Neurospora crassa OR74A: one gene and its partner. Each later gene encodes a partner of the first gene's protein in a complex. Links are inferred from orthologs where the notes say so. Each region holds a gene or a part of one and is shown on either strand. Other genes may lie near its edges. The genes, in order: arp2 and NCU02781.

What was found.
Region 2: arp2 (region 1) and NCU02781 share a complex: the UniProt entries of both Saccharomyces cerevisiae proteins name them as parts of the arp2/3 complex. The link is inferred for Neurospora crassa OR74A from reciprocal best matches to the Saccharomyces cerevisiae genes ARP2 and ARC40.

What each region holds. Positions count from the first base shown.
Region 1 is NC_026505.1:6,351,796-6,367,983, forward strand, and holds arp2 (actin-6), read right to left. Parts: upstream 8,373-16,188; 5' UTR 8,170-8,372; coding exon 8,145-8,169; intron 7,921-8,144; coding exon 7,489-7,920; intron 7,427-7,488; coding exon 6,696-7,426; 3' UTR 6,313-6,695; downstream 1-6,312. Other genes in the region: NCU07173 (ADP-ribosylation factor 6), read left to right, coding at 1,420-1,819, 1,980-2,134; stk-8 (serine/threonine-protein kinase prk1), read right to left, coding at 4,005-5,620, 5,694-5,751; NCU07170 (hydantoin racemase), read left to right, coding at 9,172-9,282, 9,347-10,027; NCU17050 (hypothetical protein), read right to left, coding at 10,411-10,677; NCU07169 (MFS glucose transporter), read right to left, coding at 11,510-12,991, 13,046-13,135; NCU07168 (hypothetical protein), read left to right, coding at 14,716-15,137, 15,218-15,467, 15,915-16,188. UniProt on the Saccharomyces cerevisiae protein: Functions as ATP-binding component of the Arp2/3 complex which is involved in regulation of actin polymerization and together with an activating nucleation-promoting factor (NPF) mediates the formation of branched actin networks.
Region 2 is NC_026501.1:9,210,779-9,226,763, reverse strand, and holds NCU02781 (hypothetical protein), read left to right. Parts: upstream 1-8,455; 5' UTR 8,456-8,679; coding exon 8,680-8,902; intron 8,903-8,985; coding exon 8,986-9,828; intron 9,829-9,895; coding exon 9,896-9,936; 3' UTR 9,937-10,227; downstream 10,228-15,985. Other genes in the region: NCU02777 (molybdenum cofactor sulfurase), read left to right, coding at 1-444; gh47-1 (mannosyl-oligosaccharide 1,2-alpha-mannosidase), read right to left, coding at 2,205-3,748, 3,810-4,680; NCU02779 (hypothetical protein), read left to right, coding at 5,927-6,289, 6,374-6,607, 6,869-7,048; NCU02780 (U2 small nuclear ribonucleoprotein B), read right to left, coding at 7,227-7,538, 7,603-7,887; NCU02782 (hypothetical protein), read left to right, coding at 10,672-13,686; NCU02783 (general amino-acid permease GAP1), read left to right, coding at 15,127-15,541, 15,591-15,798, 15,858-15,985. UniProt on the Saccharomyces cerevisiae protein: Functions as a component of the Arp2/3 complex which is involved in regulation of actin polymerization and together with an activating nucleation-promoting factor (NPF) mediates the formation of branched actin networks.

The DNA of each region.
Region 1 (16,188 bases):
CATGGTGGTTGTTCAGTTGTCTTGACCCAGCTGCCGGAGATAAGTTGCTGGGTTCATTTGGGGGAATGGGGGAGTCTGATTGCCGGAAAGGTCACGGCAATCAATTCTCAGCATCGCATCGCTTCCCGTCATCATCATTTTGAATTTCCCGGTGGATCCCGCCAGTGCCCACTGCAGACCACTAAACTACAGGCCCCTCCCTGGTCGTGCCACGCCTGGCTCGCTGGAGGGAAGCACGGACCCCGCTGCAGCAGGAAATGGCAATTCCCGATCTGGCCGCTGATTGGCTCCTTCCTCAGGGGCATCAAGGAAATGGGGGAAATATCCTCGACACGGAAGAAGGGCCCTGTTCCCTTCTGGGATTAGCGACCAGACAAGCCAAACACGCAGTACCGTGCTGAGCGACAGAGACGAGGACTTTCTCTCCGATGCCTGGCCTGGCCTGGCTTCATCAAATCTCCCAATTCCCCTCCCCTCCCCTCCCCTCCTCCCTCCTGAGCTCCGTCCTCCTGACTGACTGACTGACTGACTGATGAACTTTTGCGCTTCCATCTTCTGTTTCCATCTCACTGTTGTGGCTTGGCCCTGTTGACTGACTGCCGACTGTCGTGTCTCCGTCTCCATTCCCTTCTCTCCCACTCCCTCCCCTCAGTCCGTCTGACTGCCCGACATTGGATCAACAAGCCTGATCGTCTACATCTCCGCCAGGTTTCACCCACTCCACGGCCCACGGCACCACCTGCTTTTAATTAATCTGCTCCTTGCCTGTCGTGAACTACTCTACTACTACCGAGCGATACACAGCCCGCTACCTACACCTTACCTACCTACCCGCGCTGTTTGCGACGACAACGACGGCATCTCTCACACGTGAAGAAGCATCAGACGCCAGACGCCAGACGACATACGCTACTATCACCATTACATACACCCCTTTGCGCCTAATCCAATTGTAATCACCAACACGATACCCCAGGTACGTTCGTTTGTCTGTCTTCACTTCCCCAGGCTACTAGGCTGGTAATTGATGGTTTCGCTACACCATGGCCGGTCGCCATCTTGAAACCTCATCGGTCTCCCCACTGTTCCCTCAACTGTCTCGCCCATATTACATTACCTACCACTACCTCCAGTCCAGTAGTCTACGTGCGCTACCACGCCCCAACCTCTAACAAGCCAGACTAACACATGTTTCTCTCCAGTCCGCTCCTTAGTTCCGCTTCCTGCCCATCGCCAGTCGACAACTCATCATCAGTCCCTTCCACCACCACACTCCTTTGTCGCGATCCGATTGAACTTGTCGTGTCGTCCATAGACACCTAAACCACACCACTCCGGTCGAACTCGCAACCACCCACCACCACCACCACCACCACTCTCACACACATCCACAACCTCTCCCTTCAGACCACCGCCAAAATGGGCAACGTCATGTCCCTCGGCTTCATGGCCAAGCTCTTCGGCACCAAAGAAGTCCGTGTGCTCATGCTCGGTCTCGACGCCGCCGGCAAGACCACCATCCTGTACAAGCTCAAGCTGCAAGACCACGTCACCACCATCCCCACGGTTGGCTTCAACGTCGAGACGGTCACCCTCCGAAACATCAAGTTCAACATCTGGGACGTCGGCGGCCAGGACAAGATCCGTCCCCTCTGGCGCCATTACTACTCGGGTACCCAGGGTCTGATTTTCGTGGTGGACAGCGCGGACCATAACAGAATCGACGAGGCGCGGGTGGAGTTGCATCGGATTATCAATGATCGCGAGATGAAGGATTGCTTGTTGTTGGTGTTTGCTAACAAGCAGGATATTGCTGGTGGTGAGTACTCCCTTCTTCTTCTTCCCTTGGAATTGTATTTTCGACGAGGTGTCCGCTGCGCTCGGCTCTCTTTTTCTTTGCTCGCTGCGCTCGAACTGGGGTTTTTGGGACAAAAGCCTGAGGGGTATGGATGAACCTATGCTAACCAGACATTCTACAGCCATGACTCCCCAGGAAGTCACCGAGAAGCTCCAGCTCAACAAGCTCAAGGACCGCATCTACGCCGTACAACCCACCATTGCGATAGACAAGGCCGGTCTGCAGGAGGGCTTCAACTGGCTGTCCGATAACATGAAGGCTGCCCAGAAGCAGTGATCGATTTCTAACCTCGATCGATTTCGACATCAATAAAACACACACAGGGAGGGCCGCCCGCTCGGTGTCGACGTATGGGATCTGACTGGTTGGCCGGCCGGCCGGCTGTCTAATTACTCTAGCTGGCTAGCTGGCTTGCTCGGTCGGCCGGAAGGCTTCCCCGTCCGTTACTTCCAAGCTTCAGTCCCGTAGATGGATAATGACAACCTCGCTTCGAGACAAGATCGCAAGAAAACCGATACCCCCAATCAGACCGAAAGCCCTGACTCTATAGCGACGGCCCAGGCCAGAAAGAAAGAAAGAAATGGAAGAAGGGAGAGGAAGTTGGTCATGACACATCCCAAGAAATGCTTTTTGTTCTAACGAAAACGGGAGATGTCCAAGCCTCGGCTCGGGGTACGCAACGAACAGAAGGACTTGGCTTGGCTGGGTGGAGGAAGAAAGAGAGGAGGAAGAAGCATAAAGGACAACGAAAATAATCCGTAATTTACCCTAGTCACCTGATTTGTGTTGTCGTTGTTGTTGTTATTTGGCGCGTGGCTTTTGACATCCTTTTTGTTTGGTTAGCACAGAGAGGGAAGCTAGGGGGAGGGGAGGGGACAGTAACAGCTACCTTGGTTGGTTGGAGCTGAATACAAAAGAGAGGTAGAAAGGCAGAGATAGAGACAGAGAGAGACATATTGGTGGTGGAGGCATCATAGGATACCCGGGTAACTTGCTTTTTCTTCTTCCTTTTTTTATACCTAACTTTTTTTGTTTTATAGCGAGCTGCGTTGGTAGTTAGTTGTATGAAGAGAGAAAGAGAGTTGTTGGTACGTATTCATCATGGTCCAAGAGATCTGTGTGCTTCGAGTGTGATTTTGTAAAGTGGATTCATGATGTCTAGAGGTATATTTGTACGCTATATGTCGATACCCGCCGGTTCTATCGTGACTCCTGTTCTCGTATTCCCTCCCATGTTCTTCTAGTCCACGCTGTTCTCATATTCATCAAGTCCTGATCGCATCGATGTCAGGTAGGTACCTACATTTTAGTCTCCCTCGCTTCATCTACACAATCAACCCCCCAAGCATGTAACCATCCTCACACGTCCATGTCCTCCCCTTTCAGGATCTCCTGCTCAGTGACCCCAGCAACTCCAAACAAACCCGGACAAGTTCCGGCGGCGAATCTAGCACCCTCCAAGGCATGCTATTCAAGATCATCCAATGGTTCTAACGGATGATGCTGTCCATGTGTTTGTGCGCCGTCGTCGTGTGCTTGCAGCAGTTTCAAGTGCTCGGGATGAAACACAGCTACCGCTAGCTTGTTCATCTCCGACGCAAGGCGCTGTAGGTTATGGAGATGCTGCGCTTGAACCAGGCACTGTTTCGCTGTCAGAGGGGGGGGATCTTGCGTCGCTCGTTGTGAATTCGCAGTGCTTCCTGTGTGATTTGTCGTAGTTGCTGGACCTGTTTTTGTAGTGGGACCATTTGCGGCGCAATTTCGAGCTTGCGAACTCGTGGTGAAGCCGCTGCAGTTGTACTGTTTATTGGAGCTATTGTTGATGCAAGGTCTGTCCTGTTCCTGGGTGGTCAGATGGTGGTAGACTGGTACCCAGGAATCGAGCCAAGTGATGAGGAATGTGGGTTGGACAGGTACGTCCACTGTATAACTCGATTCCGCCCCAGTCTCTGTCCGCCAAACGTTCTCAGGCTCGGTCAATCAGTCCAAATGGCTACTGACCATCCGGCTTGCCTTCCATGACGCCGTTCAGCTATCCTCGAAGCCGCGAGCTCATTCCCGGCTTGTTTGGCTGCTGCTGTCCCTGCTGTCCCTCAAGGCGTTGCGTGGGATTTCGTCCGCGTCTTTCAATACCAAGACCGTATCCCTATCCCTGTGACCCTTTCATCCTCTTATTCGGATGACTCTGCTGCACCGCCGCCGCCGCCGCCGCAGCAGCAGCAGCAGCAGCATCATGCATCCTTTTCATCCCCGCCATTTGCGCCATCCCCCCATGTCCTTGACCCAACCCTCCCATCCCTTGGCCCATCCCGCCGCCGCCCATCTGTCCGTGTCCGTGTCCGTGTCCATGTCCGCCGATATTCCCCAACGAACCTCCCATAGCCTGAACCTGCGACTGCGCTTGTCCCATCACCAGCCCCGTCCCCGTCCCGGCCGCAGCCGTGTTCACCCGCGACCCACTCTGGTTGCCTGTTCCGGTGCCGAAGCCGATATCGTTGTCGTCCTGCGACACGCGTCTGCACGGGTACGTCTCGTTTTTGAGTCCTTCGAAGCAGTTGGTTGGTGACCAGTTGACTGCTGCTGCTCCTGTTCCTTGAGAAGTGCTATTGGCCGTGTTGCTATTGAGAGAAGCCAGCGGGGTCGAGGTGGGCGAGGTGAAGAAGGGGTGGACGAGGGCGTCGGCGGCCGTCAAGCGTTTCTCGGGGTCGTATTCGAGGAGGGAGGCGAGGAGTTTGTAGCCTTCTGCTCCTAGCGAGGTCAGAGGGGTGGAGACGGTGGTTTGGTGGTACCATTTCTGGAGGTTTCCGTGCGTGTTTTGCGACGCGGGCGGTTGTTGCTGGGAGCGATGGCCGTAGGGGTGGTGGCCGCCGCCGTGGGAGTGGGAGGTGTTGGTCGACAGCAAGGGCGGCTGTAAAGTCGACAACTGGCTATACTCGGGCATGCTGGCTAACAAGGGCCACCGCTCCCTCGTCGGCAGGCCCATTACGTCCACAATCTTCTGCATCTGATGTTTCTGAAACGGCACCGTCTTCTTGCTATCCATCTTGGCCTCCTCCCCCTTAAAGATGGGCCGAAGACTCAGCAGCTCCGCAAAGATGCATCCCACCGCCCACAGGTCGATAGCTGTCGTGTAATGCTTGCTCCCCAACAGCAGCTCGGGCGCGCGATACCATATAGTCACGACCACTTTATCGCCCATGTAGAGGTTGTGGATGGGCTGCTTGAAAACCCTGGCCAGTCCGAGATCGCCAATCTTCACTTCTCCGGAAGAAGTAACCATGATGTTCGCCGGCTTCAAGTCTCGATGTAATACCCAGTTGGTGTGTAAGTATTGCACCCCCTGCAACAGCTGGTACATTATCGACTTGATGGTCCCTGGCGCGATCGGATGTCGTGGCGTTTGCGTGTGATGGTGGATGATCTGCAACAAATCGTGCTCTGCGTACTCGAATACCATGAAGATGCACTTGTCCTCCAGGATAATCTCGATGAGCCGGATAACGTTGGCGTGGTTTCGCAGTTCGGAGCATAACGCCATCTCACGCACCGCCGACTGAGAGATGCCCGTGTAGTTGACGACGGCTTCACCTTCCTTGTCGGGCTTGAACTTTTTGATGGCGAATTCCCCGGTTTGGCCTTGTCGGCCGGTGGCTTTGTAGACCCGGCCATAGGTACCGGAGGAGATGAAGCCGATGACTTTGTAGCGGTCGGTAATGCGGACCTTGGTTTGGTAGTTTAGGGGGCCGGCATTGCTACGCTGGTCTGAGACTGAGGGCGGTTAGTGTCGGACTGGACTAGGATATGAGAGATGAATGGGGGGAAAGGCGATACTGACACCCGCGGTAGCTGGTTTCGGCCTTTTGGTTTCTCGCTCTATTTGTGCCGTACATCATGGGGGGTGATTGTATGTTTATAAGAGTGAGGTTGGTGTATGCAAGGTAGTGACTTGGTAGTGAGAGGCTGGGCAGTCACCGCCCGTCTGTTTTGTGTTTGAAGATGCTCTCGGGAATTTGGAGAAAATAAACTATATAACCGGGCACAAGATACACACTGAAGGGATCATGCTGGGAGGGCTGGATGATGTTTTGAATGAAGGAATTGGATCAAGTTCATCGACTCACATTTCGGTTTCGGAGGCATGTCATCTGAGCCGTACCCGATCTGCACGGGCCCGGGGGGAAAACCACTGTGAGACTCGGGAATGGATGAGCGGAGACGGTGTGTTAGCGTGGCCGGTAGCTGGGCGATGGAAGCCGGGCTTGAGAGTTTGGAGAAATCGAGTAAAGATGGCCGGTGAGGATCTGGGAACACGACAGGTCTGGGGATTTTGACGACGAGCTGGATTGATATTGTTGTCGCAAAGGCAAGAACAAAGTGACACACGAAGGAAAACAATAACATCAATTACCCTTTTCGTCACCAGCGACATGTCAGGCTAGCAGAGATCTGATGATGTTTGCTTCTGTTAGTGTGTCAGCTCTGATAAGCCACTGTATCGCCGCCAGCCTTAGCGTACCGTATCGATGTCCAACAAGTGGGGGTGGACCATTTCACCTTTCCGTCTTCCCGATGTTTGTCCGGGACCGTCCCGTTCCGCTGTCCGCATCTTGCTTGATGTTGGCGCCGTTGTGATATTGGGGACTTCTTTCATGGTATCCCAAAAGACCATGACTCTTGACACAAGGCCATTGTTCGATTTCTCCTGTCGGGACCAACAAAATTACACCAGCCCAAGCAAGCTCTAACAAACTCTCGCATTATCCTTTATTTACCTACCAACGGAAAACATTATATCGCCTGCTATTGTAGTCTAAACAGCTTCACCCTCGGTAGTCCCTTACCTAGGACCCAACTTCTCCAACACCCTCGCGCCCTGTTCTTCCCACTCCTGCTTCGTAATCCACATGCTCTCCTTATCCGCCATGATATTCGCCAGCACCGCACCACCCAAGAAGACCATATGCCTTCTTCTCGGCGGGTCCTCGATCCTGACCTTGAACTTGCTCAGCCTCTCGGGGTTGCCTCCCAGCACGCGCGTCAACCACAGCTGCTTCAGTTCCTTCTCCAGTCTGCTTGGAAGGCCGGGGTACATGCTGGAACCACCCGACAGGACGATCGCCTTGAATAGCGAGGAGCGCACGTCAACATCGGCGGCCTGGATGGTGTTGAAGAGGAATTCGGCGATACCCGGCTGGTCGCAATCCACCAAGTGCGGCTGGAACAAGCACTCGGGGGCCTCGAACCGCTCGGAGCCGACGCGGATGACGCGGCCGTCGGGAAGGGTGTAGCTCTCGACGAGGACGGTGGTATCTTCGGACAGGCGCTTGTCGAGCTCGAGGTCGTACGAGACGTAGCAGAGCTTTTCCTTGATCTGGCGGACGGTCTCGAAGTCGGCAGTACGGTTGAGGGCGTAGCCGCGGCGGAGAAGGAGGGCGATCAGGTTGCGGGTGACGTCGCGGCCGGCCACATCGAGGCGGCGGGTAAGGTGGTTGAGGACCACGGATTCGTAGACAGGAACGATATGCGTGACACCGTCGCCCGAGTCGACTACGACACCAGAGGAGAGACCTGCGCGTTGTCTGTCAGCTACTTGTTTCCTCAAGTCGCCGTGTAAAGGAGCGGTGACATACCCTGAGCATACAATGCCAGCACCGCCTGGATAGCGACATAGACACCCCCAAAGTCGTAGCGCTCAAACATGACTTCGGTCATCTGCTCCCTGTTCTTCAACGGGTTCAAAGGCGGCTCCGTCAACAAGATCTTTCTTCCCCGCGTATCGACCTTCATCTTCTCGTGAAAAGTGTAGTCCCATAGGTGCTGCATGTCGTCCCACTTCTTGACGATGCCGTTCTCCATCGGGTAGCTGATTTGGAGCATGGTACGGGCGGCCGCGGCCTCGTCACCGCACATGATGTCTTTGATCACAATGTCGGAGGAGTCGGAAAGCGATTTGGCTTCTTCGGCGCGGAGAATGGGGCGGCCGACTATCGAGGGGTATTGGAATTCGGGGAAATTCTGGGCGGCGTAGCCGACCTTGAGGAAGCCGGTACCGCCATCGAGGACTGTGTTCGAGGGGGGAAGTGTTAGCTGGGCGCTGTGCTCATTTTGTTGTTGTGAAGTGGAAGTGATTGAGGACGGAGTCCGACGGCTACAGCTGCCATGGCGACGGTGATGACGCGGTCAGGCAGATGGGTGGGTGGTGGTGGTGTTGGTGGTCGTCAAGGTAGCTTGAGCTCGAGACACCAGATGGATAAGGGGTTGTTGGCGGAGAGAAGAGCTGACGTACCAATGGGAGCGTCGGTGTTGGCCATGCTGGGCGGCTGTTTGGTTTGGTAACTTTCAATGGAGTTGCGAATAGCTTCGTCGGGGTTTCGAATATCGAGTGTATATCGGAGCTAGAATGGAAAGCTCCCGCGGGTGAATCAACAGGAACCAAGTGTCGGTGGTCCCGTCGGTCGGTCGGTGCAGTGGTGTCGGTGCCCTGTCCGGGTTACGGTAGCGAAGTGGACTACGGCACCGTAATTAGCTGGAGTCCAGCGCGGTAGCCTAGCTGGGGGGGTAGCATCGATATGTGGGGTCATTCGCTAACTGCCAAGCTTTCCTTCAAACAGGGCGCCGCTCGTCTGAGCCAAAATAAAGGAGACGAGCGAGCAGGCTAGGTAAACCAGTTCACTAGACGTCAAGATCATAGAAAAGACCGCTGCAAGACCGTGACAGGGAATATAACAATTCAAAAAGACCTCAGCTAGAGCCCTATTTACACATTTTCATTCTGTAATTGCCTAGAACTTGAGAGTCAGCAGTATACCCAAGGAGCCAAGGTATCATGTCAAAGGTCTCGATTATTTTGACCAGGACGAGCGCCGATGACAAGCGGGTCTTGGCAGGATTCTGGACCCCAAGGAAGTGGCAGGCATTAGGGTACCCACGTGATACCCCGCATGAGACTCGCACTTGTACCTTCAGTAGTACATGCACCTTGTTGGGCATCGTGAGAGATCAGACGGGATGGATTGTGCATTTGAGAGTGGAGATTGATATTGGTTCTTCCCGTCCCTTCTTTTTTTGATTCTTCATTTGTGGTTATCAGACCCTTTGTTGCCTTATTCTTTCTCACTCAGGCCGTCGATACAATCGGTATTTTACCAACTCATTACGATACTAGTAGGTTGTTCCCATTCAGGTTCTACCATCGTCAATCTTTCAAACTGAGTACTTCATGATACCTCCCAAAATGGACTCAGACCTGACTATTTCCCTCTCAGACCATTTATCGATTCACCTCACTCACTCACCCCCCTTCCTTCGTCAACATGACTACCGCCCAGCAAGAACCAATCAGGATCCTGATCCTCAACCCCAACTCCTCCAAGTCCATGACCGATGGCATGGCAAAGTCTATTTCCAGCCTAAACCTCCCCGACGTCTGTCTTCCCTTCTCTCCTCCACCCCTAATAACCGAAAACGTGGACTAACACCCCCCTCCAGAACATCAAAATCACCTACTACACAGCCCCTACCTCTTGTCCAGCCAGCATCAACAACGGCACCGACCTGGATACCTCCGCCACCCACGTCCTCCAAGACCTCAGCAGCAACCTTCAACTCCTCAAAGACCACGACGCCGTCCTAGTATGCTGCTACTCCGTGCACCAACTCGTCCCCGGCCTCTCGGAACTCGCTTCATCCAACGGCTTTCCCCTCTCCGTCACGGGCATCTTTGAAGCATCCGTCCTCACTTGCCTGTCGCTGCTCACGGGCCCGACGAAGAAATGGGGCATTGTCACGACGGGCAAGTACTGGGAGGAGCACCTGACTGTGGGAGTCAAGAAATTCTTGGGTCAAGAGGAGAAAGGGGGAAATAATGCAAAGTTTGCCGGGGTGCAGACGACGGGGTTGGATGCGGGGGATTTCCATGGAGATATTTCCAAGGAGGTGATTGATGCGAAACTGGCCGAGGCGACCAAGAAGTTGTTGCAGGCTGGGGATGTGGAGTGTGTGGTGATGGGATGTGCGGGCATGGCTGGACTGGAGCAAATCATTCGCCGGACTGCGATTGAGCAGTACGGCGAGGAAAGGGGGAAGAAGGTCATGGTTGTTGATGGAGTCAGAGCGGGAGTTGGGCTGGTGGATGAGATGGTGAAAAATAGGAGAATGTTTACCCAGTAGGTAGGGACGGAAAGGGAGTGGAATTAGCTTTGAAGCTGGAGATTTCCTTTCGAGCGATTTGTACGCAAGTTCGTCGCAGTGCCCCCTGCCTTTTTCCAAGCTCTCGGGGCAGAAGTCACATCGTATATCATAGTTTGTTCTCTCAAGGCTTCATTCATGAATGCAATACATACAGTCTAGTACTGGTTGGTCTGTTAGTTCGAGACCTCGTGTCAACTTTCCTATGCGTTTTCATGGCTAACTAATGTACAATCTAACCTTGGGCACGCCATCTCTAACATTCAAAATGCCAAAGCAAATCCAACTAACTCCTTTTGATTTATCCATATAACCTTTAGGACTATTCGAAGTAGATTTTGTCTAGTACACTATGAACTCCCCCCTTATGCAACACCAATAGCACTATAGTAGGGCGGTGGTGGTTCTTGTTCTGCCGGTGCTGTGCGGGTGTTCGATAGCAGCAGTGGTTTGTCGGGTGATGCAGAAACGGGTTTCCAAGTGATGATGTAGTATCCCATGTCAAGCGGCCAAACAATCAGGAATATCAAGAATACCAAACAAAATGTTGTGAGCTGATACCGCCGAGTTTTGTTGTTTGCGTTCGGGAATTCCGTTATCGAACGTTCACCGTGCATGGCCGTCCATATCATCTCCGATCTGACCCAAAATCTCAGGATACTCAGGGCCAACCAGACAATGATGCCCGGAATGATGAGCAGAAGTTTGAGGCCAAATCAGGTCGTAGCCGGGATTGTAGATTCGCTGGCGAGTGGGCACTCGATCGCCAGTGTACATGTGCAGTGTGTCGCGAGGGTAGTCATTTTGGAACCTACTACCATTATATTAGAAAGGAGTTGGGGAGACGGCGAAGTAGAGAGCAGAATAGCAAGCGAGAAGCATACCTCTTGGTTCAACGACAAAGGACGACCGCTTGGTTTGACAATGACAACGATTGGAGCGGCGGCTTGGTTTGGTTGACGGCAACGAGCGGCGACTTCAATGGTTTGGTTGAACGGCAACGAGCGGCGGCTTGGTTTGGTTTGAATAAGTGTATTGAGTAGTGAAATGTTGTACTAGAAAAAGTTTGGTTTCCGGGAGAAGAATTTGAGACGGGGATACGATGGTTCAAGTACCTGTTGGGAGTGCCCGGGTCAGGTTCCCTGTTTCCATGCTTTCATCCTTGTGACAAGTCATTCTTTCCGCACGAGCGAAGCTCACTTCTGCAGTTGCATAAGCTGGTTCGGACGTCCGAGGTTACGGTTGCCGAGTTTAATGCTTACCGATTGCCAGATTGGCGGTTGGTTATTGCCTTGATAGTAATTTGAGATAGAAGGTGGTAATATTGTCTTGCTTGTACAAGGGAAGTTCACTTCCGTTGTATTATAGAAATCCCTAAGTATACTCTGAGCAATGCACGAAACTCTGTCCTCCAAAACAACACGCAAAAGCACAGTACAAACGCCCAGCTTATCAACTCACCACTCAGTCCACACGCCTAGTACGTCCCCAAACCTCGTCCGCGTTCGCCTTCCCTTTGGTCTCGGGCACGATCCTCACGATAAACAAGGCCCAAAACGCCGCCAGCCCTGCAAAGATAAAGTAAACCCATCCAGCGCCTCCCAAAATTCTGTTCAGAGCCTCATTCACCACTGGGAACCCAAAGGCCACCAGGAAAGTAGCAATATAACTCGCACCCAACGCCCAAGACTGCGTAGCACCCACCGCCTCCTCACCCACCAGCTCGCTCGCCAGGATAAAGGGCACTGGGCCCAGCCCGACCGCGAAGAAAGCCACAAAGAACAGGGCCGCTATGGCGGACAAGATCTTGACGCCGAACATGATGGAGAGAGCAAGGACGAGAGACGACACGCCCTGGCCAATGGTAGAAGCCAAGAGACAAGCCTTGCGGCCGAACTTGTCGGGCAGAGGCGAGCAGGCAGTAGTAGTGCCTAGGTTGATGATGGAGATGCAGATGGTGAGGAGGCCCGAAGAAAAAGAAGGCGGGAGCAGGTCGCGGAAGAGGGAGACCGAGTACATGATGATGGAATTAATGCCGCAGAGTTGTTGGGCGAACATGATGCCCACCACGGCAATGATGGCGGGACGGGTATTGGGATCCTTGAGAACCTGCACGAAACCGAGATGGGGTTTGCTGGCCTTGTGGGGATGAGGACGCGAAGAGGTGGAAGGGGATGGAGAGTTGGAGCGAGAGGAGGTGTCTCTGCGCGACAGGCCCTCCATGCGGTCCTCGACACTGTGAAGGAGAGATTCCTCCTCGCTAGTAGGTCTCCCACTTCCCTGGCCCCATGACTCGACTTCCTCGTCGATATTAGCGTTCTTGCCACGGATGCGCTGAAGTGTCCTCCTCGCCTGCGCGACATCGCCCCTGGCGCTCGCTGTCCACTTTGGGCTCTCTGGCGCCAACAGCAGTCCGAATCCCTGAGCAGCTGCCACCACCACTCCAGATCCTAGTATCCACCTCCAGGCCGAATCGTGACTCAAGAAGTACCCCATGGTTTGCGAGATCAAGATGCCGAGGTTAATGCTGATTTGGGTAAAAGCACCAAATAATCCTCTCTGCGCAGGAGGCGCGATCTCGCTGATGTAGAGGGGGACAATGACCGTGCTGGCACCGGCACCGACACCGGTCAGGAAACGGCCTGTCGAAAGCACGGGGACGGAGTGGGAGAGGGTCTCAATGAGGGAGCCGACGATATAGAAGGCGGCTGTCAGCTGCATGGAGAGCCAACGGCCTCGAGAGGAGGTGAAGGGCCCGGCCATCAGGGCGCCGAAGAGACCGCCGATGGTGAAGATGGCGGAGACGGTAGCAAACTGGGGTCGGGTCATGGGGATGCAGTCGACATCGCTCGAGGAGTTCTTGACGTAGGACAGCAGGCTGGAGATGGTCGAGGAGATGGAGGTTTTGCGGCAGGTGATGACATCTTCGGGGGCGTTTAACTCTGCCTGGAAAGATTGTTAGTAGAGATATGTCGGGCTTGGAAAGGAAGGGGCGCATACCAAATGGAAACCAAACTGAAGAGGACCGAGGGTGCTGACGATTATCAGCACCACCAGGTACATCGTTAGGTCGCGGAGGTTGGCGGCCATGTTTCTGAAGATGGCCCGCACGACGAGGAACGCGGTAAAGACTTTGAGGCCAATCTTGAATGGTAGTACTCCAAATTTGAGTAGAAATCTCAACTAGAGAAGGGTCATGGTATCTCAAGAGATGATAGGTCTAGTAGGTTGGTGCAATGGAGGAGATGGTGGAATGATGGTGTTGCCGTCATGTTGGAGATTCCGTCGTGTCTCACGATGGAAGTCGACAACAAGGAATAACGGAAGGTCGCTGGAATGGGAAATGACAGGGGACTTGCTGTCCCCGCGCCGCTGTGGGTTGGGCCTGCCAAGTCAGCGGGGAATGGGCTGGGGATCCTGGCGCTTACAATTGAAGTATGCATCAGGAACTGTTTTCGGTAATTTTCCTAGCCGCTTAGACATGGCCCAATGCCAAATACTTTGCAACATGATGGATGAGAGGACTCGATATGCTAGAATGAACAATCGGGAATTGTAATGGGGAATTGTTCTTTTGGGCAGCGAGATAACTCGTACCAAACTGACAGTGGAGGCACGTACCTACCTCTATAAACTTCGGCCCCTACTCAGCTGGATCGTCGGCGCCGGTCTCTGAAAGGAGCATTGATATGGTGCTATTTTTGGAAGTACCTGTTAGGGGATGTGTACAAAACCGTTGTACGCCCTAACATGCGACGGAGAGAGACAGCCAGCACTATGTGTTTAGTACCTCGACGCACGTTATATGACCACGCGGGCGGATACAGTCGATATATATACATCCAAGCGTCTGCTGTCGGATTATTGTGACCTCTCTACATATCACAATATACTAGCCACAGCCTTCTTCCAGTTTCTTGGCTAATTCGGGCCAGATACCTAAGTACCTTCCAATTAGACTGTCCATGTCCGGTTTCAGTTGGTTTCCCGGCCACTTCTACGGTACGTAGGTAGGTAAGTATTGACCTTTCACTTCCACTTGGGATAGGAACTTGGTGAGCGGAAGGCGGGAGTAGGGACGGACGGTATATTACTACGGCAGACTTCAGTTGTACCTTCCATTCCGATATGCTCAAGCTTCTCTTCTTCCCCCAACTGAAGTCGACCATTGTGCGGTCTCCATTCGGTTTGCTTCTCCAAATCAATCAGCATCCGTCATGTTTGATGTTTCATTTTCCACCTCAAGCCTCACACCATGACCGCCATCGTGACAGCACATGCGCGCTCGCTTCAACAGACGACATTCAGAACTACAGTAGCTGACACGACCCCTCTCGAGTCTCGAATTCAGTTCTGGAAACCCCGAGCCACTGAGGACATGCTTTCACCCGAGATGCAAGGCCATTGGGTAGCAGCGCGCGCAAGTGCCCGGCATGTCTTCCCACACTGCAGCCCAGTCTGCTGCAGCCCAACATGGTGGTCGACCAGGAGGCCTGCCCGGAGCCTGCTTGGCCAACATCCACCTACTATACAGCCAGCCGGGGTTTATCATATGTATAGGTAGGTGGAGCGCCCCGTCGCCATGTCCTCCCACGGTGGAACACTTACTCACAAGTCCAAGTTCAGGTGTCTAGCATCTCGTCTCTGAGAACACGCCGCCATCGAAAAAAATGTCCGGCCTCGAGGCCTTCGGGCTCGCGTGCAATGTCATGCAAACTATCGGCTTTGCTATAGAAATGGCATCCGTATGCCACACCATCTTCCGTACCGGCTCCCCAGATCCCAGCAAGGCAACACTGTTGGCCCATTCCGCCCAAATCACCACGAGCCTCAAAAATTCGATATTATCCGCAAAGCCAGTCACACGGGATGAGAAGGACCTGCTTGATATCGCAAACAAATGCCTCGACGCCATTTCTACTCTCAGGGTTCAGGTCGACAAGCTCACCCGTCCCTCTGCCAAAGGCAAAGTCCTGCCCTCATTGCGATTGGGTTTACGGGCAAAGTTCAAAGAAGGAAATATCGACAAGTTGGAGAAGAAAATGCGCGATTACCAAAAGGTGCTCGAGTCCGGCCTTCTTCTGCGTATCTGGTAAGGCCATGATGAATCTTGCAACAAATCCAATTATTTGTTCGCGCCGGCTGACTGTCCAAATCATCATCATGTACCAGCAACCAAAACAACGCGCTTCAACTGAAAATGGATAATGGTTTTCAACAACTCGACAGTACCCTCCGATGTTTTGTAGAGGCTATTTCTCAAGGACAGGCTAATCTCCAAGACCTCTTGACATCAAACCATGGTTCCATTGTGGAGGTAATCAAGGCCGAATTCACGGTGCAAAATGCTGCAACCACAGTCATTGCCTCTGAAGTCAAAAAGACACAGGCAATGATCAAGGAAACGTCCCTAGAAGCTTCCGTAGGGGGAAAGCGACAACGACTTGTCAAGAGCCTCAAATATGACACTATGGGTGAACGTTTTGGCCAGGTCAAACCGGCTTTCGCAGGGACGTGTAGATGGATGATACAGGGTATTCAGTCAGCATCAAACAGTATCCAGGGTGAGCCCGACGGAGAAAGCTTGACACCTGTCTGCCCACATCGCACAACCCACCAGAACAACCTCTCGTGGAGTTGTTTTCCTTGTTGGCTGGAATCCCCAAATGACAAAATCTACTGGGTCCAAGGCAAGGCTGGATCTGGAAAAAGCACACTCATAAAATTTATCGTCACCAATCCCGCTCTCTGGCACCCCCAAAGGCAAGCTGACGGCCAAGATCCACTCATCCTTTCACATTTCCTCTGGGCCGCCGGTTCGCCGCATCAAAAAAGTTTGCGTGGGATCCTTCTCAATCTACTCTATCAGCTGCTATCCAACGATGAGCACGCCCTTGATCACGTTATCGACACTTTCCCCGACCTGAAGCTCAAGGACTTCTGGGGAGATTGGACACTTGAGGACTTAGAAAGAACCATGATGGACTCCCTCCAGGCCATCGCAACCAGACCTGTGTTTATCTTCGTGGATGGCCTCGACGAGTTCGGATCATCCAACGCAAGCGTTGATGATGACCCGCGCGATTTGCTTGACCTAGTGGCGAGGCTGTCAACGCTTGATAATGTCAAAATGTGTGTCTCCA
Region 2 (15,985 bases), on another chromosome or scaffold:
CAAAAACTAAACCCCTACGAAGAAGATACCTGGTCTTCCCTTACCATTTTTAACTCTTCTTCTTTTTCTTCTTCTTCGTCTTCTTGTTCTACCCCGTCTTCCTCAGGCTTTCAAACAACAACAAAATTCCAAATGCTAGGCTCCTGCCGACGCTGCCACATGGTCTGCATAGACCAAACCACGGGATCGAAAACCGCAGGAGGCGAGCCCTTTGTGACACTAAGTAAGACGAGGAGGTTTGAGGGGAAGGTGTTTTTTGGTGTGCATATGGGGTTGCAGGCGGAGGATGAGGAGGATGGGCATGCTGAAGATATAGAAAAGGAGGGGACGGGGATGGGGATGGGGACGGGGACGGGCACGGGGACGGGGACGAGAAGCATGGGAGGAAACGGAAGTGTGGTGAAGGTTAGGGTGGGGGATGTGGTGAGGCCTTCTTATTTGTGATACCTGGGGTGAGTTGTAAAGATTGGAGGGAGTCGGAGGGAGTGGGAAGACTTTTTGAGGTTAGGGAAAGAGGTTGGAAGTCAGAGGGAGAAGTTAGAGGGGAGAGGGGAGAGGGGAGAGGGGAGAGGGGAGAGGGGGTGCTTGGGATGTTTGCAATGGATGTTAGAGGTGCTCAAGGATATTACTTCACATGAGATCATGAGATACATCACGAGAATCGTTAAACAAAATGAGGAAACTCGCTCTTTCCTCCCCGACAGCTTTGCCTGACTGACTGACTGACTAACTGCTCAACTCAACTCAACTCAAATCAAGTCATGTAATGTCGCAAACACATAACACAAGTAAGGTACCTCCACCTATTGTGGAATATCCAGGCAGTTACCTAAATCATCCACTGTGTTCATGTAACCATTCAGTAGAGCAAAATAAGACCACACCAGTTTCACAGTCCTTATACAAGAGTACTGTCTATTAACTCTATCAAAGATGATTAAAATAATCAATTCATATCATCTGACCTATGGTAGTATCTACTTTACACTTTTTTTTTCCCCCATAAATAATGAAAATTGCGAGGTCCCATGGTAAGTAGCCCACCAGAGCTTTAAGTACCTATCTTGTCTTTAGCTTTTCCTTTGACAAGTCTAGGTAGGTATTGTCTGTCAGTTATTACCTACCTATGTACCTACCTACGCACTATGGTATTGCTTTTCAAGCAGCCAGCCAGTTTATTTACCTACCTACCTACCTACCTACCTTACTTATATCATATATTCTTAGGTAGGTACTTCTTTCTTAGGTAAGGTAGTTAGTGAGTAGTTATTTACGAAGCAAGCACGCGAGGAAACAAGCACGCGAGGAAACAAACAAACAAACATCATCCTTCGCATTACAATAACCTACTACCTCTACCTAGACTACCTAGACTAAGGTACCTAGCTAGGGTAACGGTGGTTTTACTTACTTACTTACTTACTTACTTTTTTCATTTGTGTACCTATCTATCTATCTATCAATGTATGAAGAGAGAGAGAGAGCCGACTGACAAGAAGTAGTATACTTCAACTTTTTTTTCTCAATTTCAATTTTTCAAGTTTTTTTTATCTTTATTCTAGAGAGCTAAAAAAAAAAAAAAAAAAAAAAAAAAAAAAAAAAAGAAAAAGGCAGATGGACACAGAGGGACAGATAGACAGATAGATACCTTACCTAGCCAGATAGGTAGATAAAATAGACTATACCTAGCGAGCAGCTGTGACGGAACTTGGAAACTTACATAGATACCTAAGTCCCAATGGTATTCGTGAAGGAAGAAGGTCCTGCCACTATAAAGCCCGGGCCGCGCGTACGTGTCTGAGGAGCGGGAGATGATGGAGTTATATAGGTACCTAACTACCTAGTGATGTAGATATCATAGGTAGCATTTCACGCATCTCCAATTCCTTCAGTGCTCATTCGTGTCTTTTCACTCTCGTTCCAGTTTTGAGACCCATCTATTTTGGGTGCCGTCACCAGCTAAAGCTATGTACATTGAACACACCCACACACAACCAACTCACTCATCCACTCTCATCCACTCATTATCAAACTACCTATTACATGGAAAAAAGTGTATATATGCATACATACATAACTTTGACGTTCTTTATGGATACTTTGCCCCCATCACATCTGGGCATGTTCCATTTTCTCTCTTTCTTCCCTTTTTGGTTCCCCTACGCTACGCTACCAACTTTCCACATTCTCATCTCTTCCATAACTCACGCACTCTTTGTCTCCCCTGTCGTCGTCGTCGTCGTCGTCCTCGGCTTCCTCTCCCACCCAGTCTTCAACAACCTCCCCACCTCAAAGACCGGCAACGGGTGCGCCTCGGTATTGAACACGACCTTGTCCAGCGGCAACAGATCCTCCGGACTGAACAACAAATAAAAGTACTTGAGCGTCTCCGCCATCCAGAAGCTCTCCATGTTATCCTTGATCACAGGCGGTATGACATTTGCATTCGACAAGCTCGTAAATCCGCCGCCATCTTCGACAGCAGTGTAGTTGACAAACGACTTGAACATGTCCCACCCCCACTCGCGGTACTTGACGTCGCCCGTGATGCGGTACATGTAGAAGAGGGACTCGACCGTTTCGGGCCGTTGGAGGTTATGCGCGTCCATTTGATGGACTTCATAGTCCTTGCGCCAGGTCGCATCAGGGCCGGCGGGGTCATCGAAAATGGAATCTGGTGGGCTGGTGTGCGAGGAGGACTCTGGCAAGGGGTCCGAGGGGATCTTAAAGTAGGTGATTTCCGCGGCGAGGCCCGTCGCCATGTACCGGTACATGCCCCAGCACGTCTGCATCAGCTCGCGGGCAAGCTTCATGTCGGCCTCACGCTGCTTGTTCCAGAAGCCGGGCTTCTTGCGGGCTTCGCGCTCCGAGAGGCCTTCGGTGGCGGCGAGCGCAATGGTTCCCGGGAGGAAGCAGACGAGGTGGTCCATCTTGGGAGACAAGTTGCCCTCGAGACCCGAGGGACGTTCGCCGACAATGGTGAACCCGCTGTTCTCAGTGTAGGTGACTAGGTGCTTGCGGATGCCCTGGAGAGCGTCGTTCCACATGTCTTGGTAGATGGGTTCGGCCTTGTGGGTTTGCAGGTACTGCTTGATCAGGTATTCGTAGTAGGAATCGCCGCGCGAGCCGAGCCGGATGTTTTGGGTATGAAAGTGGCCGGTGCTGGGCTGGATGAAGATGGGCACGAGGCCATCGGGGGCTTGGTTGTCGTCTATCACTTTCATGACCTTTTCGGAGCGGTCCCAAAAGTCCTTTTCGCCTGTTAGGTTGGCGAGGTACTTGAATTCGAGCTGGAGGGTGGTGGCTTCGGCGGTGGAAGAGGCACCCATGTCGGCGTGCGAGGGCAGGCCCTGGAATTTACCGAGGTTGACGCTCGCGTAGGGAATGCCAGAGGGCGTGTCGAAGGCGGACATGAGGCGGTCGGCGAGGTCGCGGGCCTTTTCGAGGTAGAGGTCCTCGCCGGGGGCGCCCACATCGTCATCGGAGATGGGCGCTAGGTTCGGGTACTCGGTGCTGAGGTAGTAAGCCGACAAAAGACCGCCCATCATGCGGATGGTCGTCTCAAAGGTGTTGACATCTTGATCCTGGTCCCAGGTCAACGACTTGGAGATCCACTCGCGAGCATGAGTAACCCGCGAGGTCAAGTTCATGATCATCAAGGTGTCTAACGAATCGATAATGATCCAACCCAAACCCTTGGGGGCCATATTGCGGCCCGTCTTGGACACGGGGTGAAACTCGTCATAACCTAGTCACACAAGTTAGCCTTAACCGATAATCACAACACCAACCCTTCTTCAGAAACATACCCCAGGCATATCTCTCATAAGCATCCCAGCTCAGCTCCATAGCCTCAACAACCCTCTCCCTCCTCTTCAACCAATCCGCCTTACTCCTCGCCTTGGTATCCGAGCTCAACCACCCCCAATCGCCCAGCTTCGCCCTGGCTCGTTCATGATGCTCATCAAAGAAGCCCGTAAACCACAACAGCCCCAGCACCACCAAGGTAAATAACCCCAACACCCTCTTTTTCCTCAACAGTGGCCTAGGTCTCGCTCCTCCGGGGCCGTACCCATACGGCTTATCCTTGTACATGGGTAATGACCTTCGATCCGGGTTTAGGAATCCTCCCACTTTATCTTGTACTCCCCCTAGCACTCCTCCTGCTCCTGCTGATGGCCCTGCCCGTTGGCGGGTCGCAGCAGCCCACAGTCGATCTTCAGCTTGGCGCGCCGGGTCCGTAAACGACGGGACGTGTCGTGGGATGGAAAAAGAGGCCATGTCCCCTGGATCTTCGTATTCTTCTTCTACTTCTGTGTCTTCCTCGTCGTATGTCTCTTCCGCAGCAGCAGGAGCAGCAGCTGGCAGTAAGGTGCCCTGCTCTAAATCCGCCTGTGACTGTGACTGTGACTGGCTCTGAAAGGCAGTGTGGTCAAGCGCCCTCTCGACTTCCTTTGCGGCGGCTTCGACGGCGTCGCGGGTGCGTTCAGCGGCCTGCTCAGCGAATTCGGCGGCTTTGGCAGCGGTCTCGACAGCCTGCTGGGCGGCTTTCTCGGCACGGTCGCGGAACTCGGTGGCGGCAGTGGTGGCGGTTGCGCGGAGGATGTTGATGGCGGCAATGGTACCGGGGCGGTTGAGGGAGAGGTTGTGGAGGTTGAATGGATCGCGGACGCGGTTCATTGAGGAGGAGGAGGTGCCCTGGAGGGGAACTGAACCGTTGGCGCTATAGAGGTACCTAGTTGGGGCAGTTTCATTGGGGGACGGCAATGTCTTGGTAGGTGTGGTGCTGTTAGTGCACTTTGGGCCTTGAATAGGTAGGTAGGTGGTGCTGGATTGAGACAATGGATTATTAGAGGTAGGTTGGAATCACCACAGTAATGTAGACAGACGTATTAGTTGGTCATTAGGTAAGTACGTAAAGATAGGTAGGTAGAGGTATGGATTAAGCAAGAGCTGGCAATTGTATAAATTCCATGGAATAGATGGAAGGTAGGTATTCACACGCAAAAGGGAGCAGCCGTCTCTCAAATTAAAGGCCCTTCTTGGATTTCCCCCCAACTTTGTATTTCCCAAATTTGAGCGGTCAAGCTGCACAAGGAAGGAGAACTGCGGCGTGGACCTGGCATGGAGCTGTGCTTCCATCCCTTCGTTCCATCACATCCGGCCGCTCTTACTTCCACTTCTGGAAGTGCCTGACATGTGTTTGCACATGTGTACCTACCTACCTACATAGGGGTTGTATATTTATAACCTGCCAACGGTCAGATGTACGTACACCAGCCGGATGCAGAAGTTGTGGTGATTGCTTTCATATTAGCCCCGAGATAACGAGAATCATGCAAGAAACCAAGAACCTTGCTGACCTCTTACACTAACTACGCAGTACACAGTACAAGTACACGACGCCAAAAAGGACAGCTTGAGCTTGGACGCGTCAAGTTCCCTTGCGACAGTTGTGGGGCCCCGCTGTTTGTACAAGTCTTACAGGGGGCCAGATTCGCCAGGGTTACGAGTGTGGTGATCTGTCAGGGTTGGGTCTGTCATTAATTACTCCCGGCGGTCTCGCAAACTTCCATCTCTAGGTAATGGTTGGCGTTTATGTATTGAGGTATTGTGGAATGCATGGAGGGTATATTTTTCATGCATATGATCATAAATGAAGAACATGTGAACAACCACAATACCTCTAACTTTGAGTTACGACCCCTTCCTTATCTTATCACCCTCTCCCGTCCGTCTCGTCCCGCTCACTAACACCGTCCCGCCCGGCCGTGACAATCCAGTTCCACATGCGGTAACATCGATATGTATGTCCCAATTTCTCCCCCATCCCATCCTTCACCACTGCACCACTCAGCAGACCGCCCACCGTCTCACCATATCACAACCACACACCTCACCATTACCGAAAACACTCTTGATCAAAATGTACTCCCTGGAAATCCAAAACTACCCCCACCTCACCCCCTCCGAGTTCGCCGAGGCCGCCCACCACCTCGACCGGCGCTACAGCCAAGCGACCCTCGGCCCGCTCCGGCGCCAATGGAAGCTGCGCGTGCGCTCGGCGCTCAACACCCACTTTGTCTCTCCTTCGGATCCCGAATACAGCACTTTTATCCAAATCACGAGACCGCTCGAGGTCAATCTGGATGATGATGGCTTATCCGAGTTTTTGGATAATTTGTGTTTTTCTGAGGGGCCAGCAGCGGTAAGGGGGGATGAGCGGGAGGGGGAGGGTGTGGTTGGTGTGAGTGAGGGGATGGAGGTTGAGGATGATGATGATGATGAGGTATGTTTTCTTAATAAAAACAGTGGGTTGAAGGGGGGGTGGGTGTGGAATGCTGATAATATGTGGTTTACTGGGGGAGAAAAGGCCATGGTTTTGCCTTCTAAACATCAACAACAGCAAAAGACAAGTTATGGCTACGTCACATACGAAATACACCTTCACCCGACATATCAAGCGCCTTGTCTGTGGTTTTCACTAAACGGACTGCCGGCGGATGAACCAGCCTTCAACATCGACACCGTCTTTCGACGTCTTGTACCCGATCAGTTCAAAGATGGACTTCGCCGCGCGGGTTCCGTGGGTGGTATCTCAGCTGATGTAAGTTTTCTCTTCTCTTCTCTTCTCATCTCATCTCGTTCTTTGTATTTGTGTCTTGCGATTTGGGTGGGTTCAATCTTCTCGCTGTTGAAACACCAAAAAGTTAACTAGGGCTGAACTCCTTTTTCTCGCTCTTTGTGACTTTGTTGTGAAACATAAAGATATGAGAAGGACAAAAAGAGAGAGAAAGAGAAAAAAAAAAGGTGCCTATACTAACACACGAATGTCCCTTCTTTTGAATTATTTCGGCCATACAAACAGTATCATCCCATCACAGGCCTTCCCACCTTCTTCGTCCACCCTTGTCTCCTCGGCGAGGCCATGTCGACCTTTGACAATGTCTCGATCGAGAACTACCTGATGGTTTGGCTTGGACTCGTCGGCGGCTGTGTCAGCCTTTGGGTCCCCAAGGAAATGGCCTTGGAGCCTTCCTCCGCCTAGAGGAAGTGGGAGTAGCGCGGTGTATGTTGTACATGCAGCTAGCGGTGCGTCTTCTGCATTGTCCTTCGAGAGGGCGAATTTTTCATCCATCCGCTTCATTGCGCCTTCATTTTTCGTCATCCTTCCCCACCGCGAGCTGGTATCTTAAACAAGAAGCAAATGCCATAGTGGACACCCATCAGTCCTCGTCGCTGTCTTCCTCCATAGCAACGTCCGAATCGCTCTCCTCCTCTTCTTCCTCCTCCTCCCGTGGCCGCTTCGTTCCCCGGTTCTCCTCTGCCGGTGTGGTTGTCTCCGTCCCGGGAGGCTTGGCTGGCGAACCTTGTGGTGCTGGACTCTCGGTATTCGTAGTAGGGGCGCCTGGTACTGGGGCACTAAAGATACTCTGTTGGACGGTGGTGAGGGCCACGGCGGCGGCGGCCTTGGGTGGCACGAGAGTACCGTCGAGTTTGGCGATGATGTTGGAGCGGCCCTTGGCGTAGGTGATTTTCTAGGCAAACCCAAGTTAGCATGTGAAGGGCTACCGCTGAAATATTCAACCCGAGAAGACCTACCATTTTGCGGCCCAAAAACTCCATGCCGTCAAGTGACCTCATGGCCTGTGTTGCTGTCTGAATGTCCCGGTAGACAATGTGTGCTTGCCCGCGCATCTTCATGGTCTTGAGAGCGACGACATCGAGGACGGGGCCGTAGGTGGAGAAGAGCATGTATAGTGCTGTACGGAGGTCGTCCTTCTGGATCTTAGCTGAGGGGAGGTTCGTGACGTAGAGAGTCTGGTTTGGCGGGTTCGAGACCACCTTTTGGGGGAGGCCCGCGGGGGGAGCAATACGCGTAGCCATTGCCGCGTAGGAATCCGGGAGTTGATGCTGTTGTTGTTTGTCCAATGCAGGTTGTTAATTGTCGCGTAGATTTTCAGTATATCGTAGGCGCCTCGTGGTAGGGGTTAATATCGTCAATTGTCTCGTCGTCGTCGTCGTCGTCGCTCGGGTGTATGATGTTCAGTGTTCAATCATGAATTCAAGTCGCGGCGGCGCATGCGATGTCGACAATTCAGATGCTGGTCCAAAAATTGGAGACAGTGGCCAGCCAGCCTACGAACCATCGAAATCGGTACACAAACCCCACGGGCGTGGGTGCAGCTTGTTGGAGGTACTGCGGTTGCGAGCAAAAGTAAAACCCCCTTGTCAGGTATCTTGCACGGACCACCACAGCCAGAGCTTCGTGAGCACTGTGTGGTCGACGACCTGATCCACGGGTTTAACTTACCCATCTCACCATAGTAGGTTCCAGTTCCAGGTGGGTCAGCCCCGGCCGGCAGCAGGGCACTCTTGGCGGCGTCACCCACCCGCAGCCAACCCCACCACCATACGCTGCCGCAACGGTGCCCCTGGAGCCTGGCGGTCTGACCTCATTTCAGGCGTCCAGCCCGCTGTAGTTACGGAGCTCTCCCGCTTCCCGTTCCCGGGCACAGCTTCCCCTTTCCAATTACAACATCCGGCTCCGACACCACCGAACCAAGACATTCGATCACACTCTCCGTCATCACCGTCCCCGATTCCGAGCGCGGTAGTAGAGAGCTATACTCCTATCGCATACCTTATTTCTACACAACACCAACCTAACAACCCACAATGGCTGCTCCCGAGGTCCACCATCTCTTCCACCACCCCATCGCCGACCACTCCTTCTCGGCCGATCGCCAGACCTTGGCCATTGCCCGCGACACCCAGGTCGAGCTCTACGGCAGAGTCGGCAATGCCTTCAAGCTCAAGGATGAGCTCAAGGGCCATGACAAGCTTGTCACCAGCGTCGACATTGCTCCCAACACCGGGCGTATTGTGACCTGCTCTCAGGGTAGGCCCCCCCTTTCGCAACCCAGGCACCCCATAATGCCACCATCACAGTCAGCTAGACTAACAACCAACCCCAACTCACAGACCGCAACGCCCTCGTCTGGGAACCCTCCCCCACCGGCTACAAGCCCACCCTCGTGCTCCTCCGTATTTCCCGCGCCGCCACCTTCGTCCGCTGGTCTCCCTCGGAAGCCAAGTTCGCCGTCGGCTCCGGCGACCGCGTCATCGCCATCTGCTACTTTGAGGAGGAAAACGACTGGTGGGTATCCAAGCACCTGAAGAAGCCGATCCGATCCACCATCACCTCTGTCGCCTGGCACCCCAACAGCGTTCTTCTTGCTGCCGGCTCCACCGACGCCCACGCCCGCGTCTTTTCCGCCTTCATCAAGGGCACCGACCAGCGCCCCGAGCCGAGCCCCTGGGGCGAGAGATTGCCTTTCAACACGGTCTGCGGCGAGTTCCTGAACAACTCTGCCGGATGGGTGCATTCTGTTGCCTTCAGCCCGAGCGGCGACGCTCTGGCGTTTGCGGCGCATGACTCCTCCATCACCGTCGTCTACCCCTCTGCGCCCGAGCAGCCGCCCAAGGCGGTGATCAGCATCAACACGCAGCTTTTGCCCTTTATGAGCCTCTTCTGGAACGGAGAGACTGAGATCATTGCTGCGGGTTACGATTGCGAGGCTTTCCGCTTCCAAGGCGGCGAGCAGGGGTGGCAGCTGGCCGGCACGCTGGAGAAGGCCAAGGCCGGAGGAAGACCGGGTCTTGGTGACGAGGACAGAGAGGAGTCTGCGCTGAACATGTTCAAGCAGATGGACCTGAAGGGTAAGGTCAGCAAGGATGATACCATGTTGAAGACGGTGCATCAGAATACGGTTACTATGTTGAGGCCCTTTGAGGAGAGTGGTGGACGGGTGACCAAGTTTAGTTGTGAGTGTTCCCCATTTTTACATGACCTGTGGTTTCAAGAATTATTGATGCTAACTTGACACAACAGCGAGCGGTGTTGACGGCAGAGTCGTCATCTGGCACACCTAGATTTCCCCTCGATGAAAGAGGGTTGCTGCACACATTGGGAAGCAGAAAAGCCAAGCAAGCAAGCGTAACATCTAATGTTAATGGAACAAGAGTGAATGGCTGATAATGAATCAGATTCAAAGTCAAGATCCATCAATGTCAGTTTAGCGGGTAACTTTCCCGGTCTTTGATTTCTGCCCTATCCGTGCTTCCCGGTATCCGCCAAAGTGATTGATTGTCCATTCACCCATTGTACAGAGACTTATCATGTCACTTCTCCACAGTGAGCTATCCGTTTGTCATGACCGCCCGGCCAATTTTGCAAGATATGTATGTGTGAATCAGACACACAGTCAAGAACAAATACAGGTTCAATACATACAAAGCAATTCATTGACTTCCGCTTGTGGCTTGCCGGACACATTCCGATTTGCCGTGATAACTTCCATAAAAGGATCATAAGAGAACTAATAACCGGCAGCAGGAGAAGTGCATGTCACAATTCATGTCCATACCTACCATTGTTTTGTCCCTGTCGATTATTTATTCCATATCCTTTCGCTCCTCATCCAGACCTTCAGCTTCAAAAGCAGTTTACCATAAGTAATCAGCCGTCCGTCACTCCGTCCCTTTCAGCTATCCAAACAAACTCAACTTACCTCGCTTTGCCTCCATCTTCCCTGCCTGCCTACTTCGTTGTCTGGTTAGAAGAAGAAACAGCGGGATCAGAAGAACCAAACAACAACAAACTGAACCATGGACCACAACAGTTCCTACGACTACTACCCATTCAACCACCCCCAACACCCTCTGTACTTTAACCCCGTATCTCCTGTTCATGTTCCTCCTCCTCCTCCTCCTCCTCCTGGTCATCCAGAACCAGAGGAACAAAAAGACTACCACCACTACGCTCCCGCATCACCAAGCGACTTTATTTACAACGCCAACTCCTCTGTCAACACCACCACCGCCGCTAGCATCCTTCATCATCATCATCATCGGCATCCTTCCCGCTCTTCTCGATCTTTATTCTCCAACGAGCCAGTACTCGCCTATCCACCTCGGACAGTGGGGTCTAGGTCTGTTGAGCAATCATTTTCGAATTACTTACCTGGGGTACTGGAACCAAGTCTACCACGACCAGCACCAGGTTTCGAGGAGCATCGACGCCAGCGGCAATCAACGATGATGACCATGGGGCCGGGACCAAGTAAATCGGTACCTTCTCCACTGTCACTGCCCCTCAGTAGGGAAGGAGGAAGAAGTGGTAGGAGGAGGATGAGCGGGTTCAGTTCCGGTGAGGAGACAGTGGTGGTGATTAAGCGGGAGGAGGAGGAGGAGGAGTCGGTTCCTTGGGTGTCGATACCGTTAGAGCAGAGGGTGAAGAGGTGGGTGCCGCGGGTGCCACAGGGAGAACAGGGAGAACAGATGAAGCAGGTGGAAGAAGATGCGGTGGGAGGTGTGGTGGGAGGTGTGGTGGGATACGTGCCCCTAGGGACGGAGGAGAGTGGGGTCAGTGGTAGTAAGACTTGGGAGGAAAGGGGGGAAGGGGTGGTAATGGAGAGGGTTATGATGGTGCCGTCGGTGGTGTCTAGCGTTGGTGCCAATGCCGGTGTGGAAATGGTGGCAGGGATGATGGGTACGGCGATGGGAATGGGAATGGAACCAACAATAACGCCAAAGATGGGCCTGTTCAAACCCATCAGGTGGGATGGACCGTCTTCTGCTTCGAGGGCTAAGGCTAAGGCAAGGAGGGTACGTGCCTGGGAAACCATGGAAGAACAACATGGTGATGTTCATCTTCGACGGACTCCTCCTGGAATTCAGAATCGAAGCAGCAACAGAGACCGAAACGACGAAACCGAAGACGAAAAAGTTTCCGACGCCCCCATCTCTCCCCATTCTCGCTCCCCAAAGAGATTCAAGACCTCCTCCTCCCATTCAGGATACATCCTTCGTCCAGGTCCATGTCCAGCAGAAACAAAAACAGACACAGAAATAAAGCAAGAACCAAGCCTCTCACCTCCACCATCCGCCGTTTTGGCTCAGATTCCCATGTTTGATTCCTTCGATTCCCTTCCACGCAACAACAGTGGCTATGAATCCTCCGGTCATGACGACAATTCCCTTTCTTTGCGAAGTATCAGCCCTTTGACTCGGGTCCCGACACCTCATCGTGTGCTGTTCACTACTACTACTACTCCGAACCGGATCATGACTGGAACTGGAACCAGAGAAACGACCCAGCCTTCATTGAGGGCGGTGAGTAAGCAGCTGAAGAAGAGGAATCGGGAGATGGCGCTGGGTCAAGGTCACGGGCGGGAGGATAATCGAGAACGGAGTCGTGAACCAAGAAAGAAACGAAGAGAGGAGGGGGCGTGTTGGGGTTTACCTGGCGGTAGTCAGAGACAGACTCCAGCTCAGGGTGCTAACTCTGCTGCTCAGCAAAAACAACAACAACAACAACAACAACAACAACATCGAGAATCTTCCGAAGGGAGAGAACAAGGCTGGACAACCATCTCGGGCAGCAGTGAAGAAGGGGAAGCAAGCAGTCATTACGAAAACAGTTACAGTTATAGCTTTGGTCAACAGGAGAGGGATAGGGATGCCGCTGCTGCATCAAGTACGTCTAATCCCCTTTCTTATACCGATCAGGAAGAAGAATGGTGTCGCCCTTTTTCTTTCTCATCGTCGTCATCGTCGGCCGCACCCGTCTCTTTTGAGACCTCAGCGAGATATGATCATGATTATGAATCCGCTCCTCCGTCACTGTCGGCCTCGCAGGAGAGAAGAAGAACAGAAGAAGAAGGATACCGCCAAGCGATACAAATGGCGCAAGACACTTGTCTTGAGGCTAGCAAGAGGTATATCAGGGCTCATTGCGCGAATAGGGGGGCTCGCGGGGGTGGTAGTCCTGACACTAGTCCTGCTCCCCGCCAAACTGTCTCGACACGGTCGGCCCGCAAGGCAAGAAGGAAGCGTAAGCTGGAAACCCGTCAGGCCTCTTCCTTTTCCTCCTCTTTCTCATCCTCCTCACCTTCAACTTCACCAGAGGCACCAGCACCTTCACGGCAGCGACGCAAAGGTAAAGGTAAAAGCAAACGACAAAACCGAACCAAGAACCGAACCACCACAACCTCTCCTCCCTCCTCTTTTAACTCACCCCATCACCAGTCCCCACCTCCCCCAGACATCCAAATAAGAAATTCCCTCCTCCCCAACATCTCCCAAATCTGCACCCTCCTCTGGTCGCGCTCGCAGTCTCTCCGACTGCACGACACCGACAGCATCGAGTTGCATACCGCGCGCAACATGTACTGGCTTTTATCGTGGGCGGAAACCGTCGCTTTTGCCGTTGTTCCACCTACTCTCGCTTCCATTTCTACTTCCACTTCTTTTACTGCCTTTACCGTCCCAGACTCAAAGTCAGACCCAGATCCATTCGATTCAACTACGACCATATCAGTCGGTTCGTCGGTCCCCGGTTTCGATGGTTGTTCTTCTTCTTCTTCTGCTGCTTTGCGGCAGAGGAAAAGGGAGTGGGACAGGGAGTGGGAATGGGAGGGTTTTGGGGAGGGGGTGAGTGAGGAGGGGGATAAGGCTGAAGAAGGGTTGGAGAGCAAAAACGGGAGAGCGGTTTGGGAACAGCAACGGATAGAAGAAATGATAAAGAGGGTGTTTGACGAGGGAGGCATGCTTTGTGAGTTTCTGGGGTATGGGGAGGGGGTGGAGAGGTTGGGTAGGGTTAGGGAGTTTTGTGGGGTTTGACGGAATACATTCGTGGACTTGGGTTTGGTTCCTACCTACCTAGAATTGGTGACCTTTTGGGTAAGTACCTAGTATTTCTAGGTCAAGGATGGGATTTGGATCTTGAGCATTGGATAGACGAAGTTTTTGAGATACATGTCAAAAGATCATCGATGTGGTAAATGAAGATAGCCTGATGAGCATGTGTACTTCCCTTCGGGGCATGGTCCACAACGTGGTTGCCTCGTGGTTTGTTTGGTTCCTGGTGAGAAAAAGGAAATATGTCTCGTGCTGTTATTTGACAGCTTCTTCTGCTGTATTAATCGTCTGTCTGGCTCTTGGGTAAACCTTCATGGGCCTGGTGGGCTTGGCATGTGTGACCCTGGTTGACACTTTTTGAAGCGACAAGTGTGGGTGTTGCTGTACATATCTTGATACATAGGTACCCTTTAGTAATGACGGTAAGGAATCGATAAGGTAGCCGGGAAGAGCGGGAATAATCAAAGTGGAAACCCTAAGGGACGGATATCGAATAGAGAAAAAACCAAAAACAAAAAAGGGGGCGCGCATTATCACAGACTGGAAATTGGGATGGTCCACAAAGTATCCAATATTGCCATGATAACCTCAACCTAACTGAGGAAGAGCTGAAAAAAGATGACCCCACTGGAGGTGGAGCCCACACGATAACCCCACAACCCCACGGCGGGTAGTCGAACGCTAAGAGCGCTGCCCTGAAGTAGGTGGACCTGTCCGGGGCATGGTTGGCGGGATCCCGGGCCTCCATTGTTACAGTGGATGTGGTTTCCCCCAGAATTCCCGTCCCAGGCAGGGCAATCCCCCGGAAGGATGGGAAAATGTTGTGTTCAGTTGGTTGCTCTTATTTTTCAAGATGGTATCATCTTCGACCCCCCTTCCTTGGACCTTCCAGTCTTTGTCACCAATGAGAGACGGACTCGCTCACCGATCACTCGCATTCCCATTCATATGTCCGCCCATGTTACATCCCAGAATCGACCCCACGGACCGTCACCCAACAGCCCTGAGGCCGCCCGGGGGGGGGGGGGGGGAATGATAAGCACTTCTCTTCCTGTTGTGGCACTGGCCACGGCTATGTGCTGCAGTAGTGTAGTAGTATCAGGTAGTGTAAGCTTAGCTGACATTCGATGACTGCCCCTGCCTCTTTTTTTTCTCTTTTTTTATTTTTTTTTATCTATCTTTACATTTTCCTCCTTTCTCACTCAGATATCATCCAAGTTGAATTACTAAACACATCAACAAGGACTGTCACGCGACCACACTCCACTCACCGAATCCTCCATCTCACCCGGCGACGATAGGACGAACGGCTGTGATAGGGACGCGATGATATTGGGCGCGTATCTGGTGAGAGGATGAGACCTTTACAAACCGACCAGTCGCCTCTCAACCGACAATAACCACAACGACAACGACGGAAGCATGAAACCCAAAAAGCGAGACAGCATGCCTAGCGACATAGAAATGGCCGCTTACGGCAGCAGAGGTGGAGATTCCTTCGGCCAGGGAAGTTCATGGAGTTTCCGGGAACCCTTCGCAGTCGGCCGCGTCCCGACATGGGCACGCGCTCGCCATCGCCAAGAACCGAGGTTGCGAACATTCCTCGACTCGTTCAAACGGGACCCCGTCCGCCGGATATCAACCCATGGCATCTATGCCCAGAGTCATCCTGATCAATACCAAGCAGCCGACTCCTCGGATGAACCTCCGACCGAACAGAATCATGGAAGCCACTACTTTGACCTGCACGCCGCCAACGTCAGGACGGCAAACACGGGTCTGGCCCGAGAGCTCAAGGGGAGACACTTGCAGATGATTGCCATTGGGGGTTCAGTTGGTATGTCTTGTACAACACCTTACCTGAAGACATGACTGACCAACATCAGGTTCCGGTTTGTTCGTGGCCTCGGGCAAGTGTCTCTACCTAGGAGGTCCGGCCTCGCTCATCATTGCATATGGCTTTGTGGGTGTCATGCTTTGGTGTACTATTCAAGCTCTTGGAGAACTGGCCGTTGCTTTCCCCGTTGCCGGTTCCTTCTCGTCATACTCTACAAGATTCCTTGATCCAGCATGGGGGTTTGCCATGGGGTGGAAGTAAGACACTGACCCCTGAACTTTGATGATATATCGAACCCGACTAACCTCACCCCCAGTTATGCCCTCCAGTGGTTGACAGTCCTGCCACTCGAACTCATAGCAGCTTCCATCACCATCGGCTACTGGAACGACCAACTCAACAAAGCCATCTTCATCACCATCTTCCTAGCAACCGTCATCATCA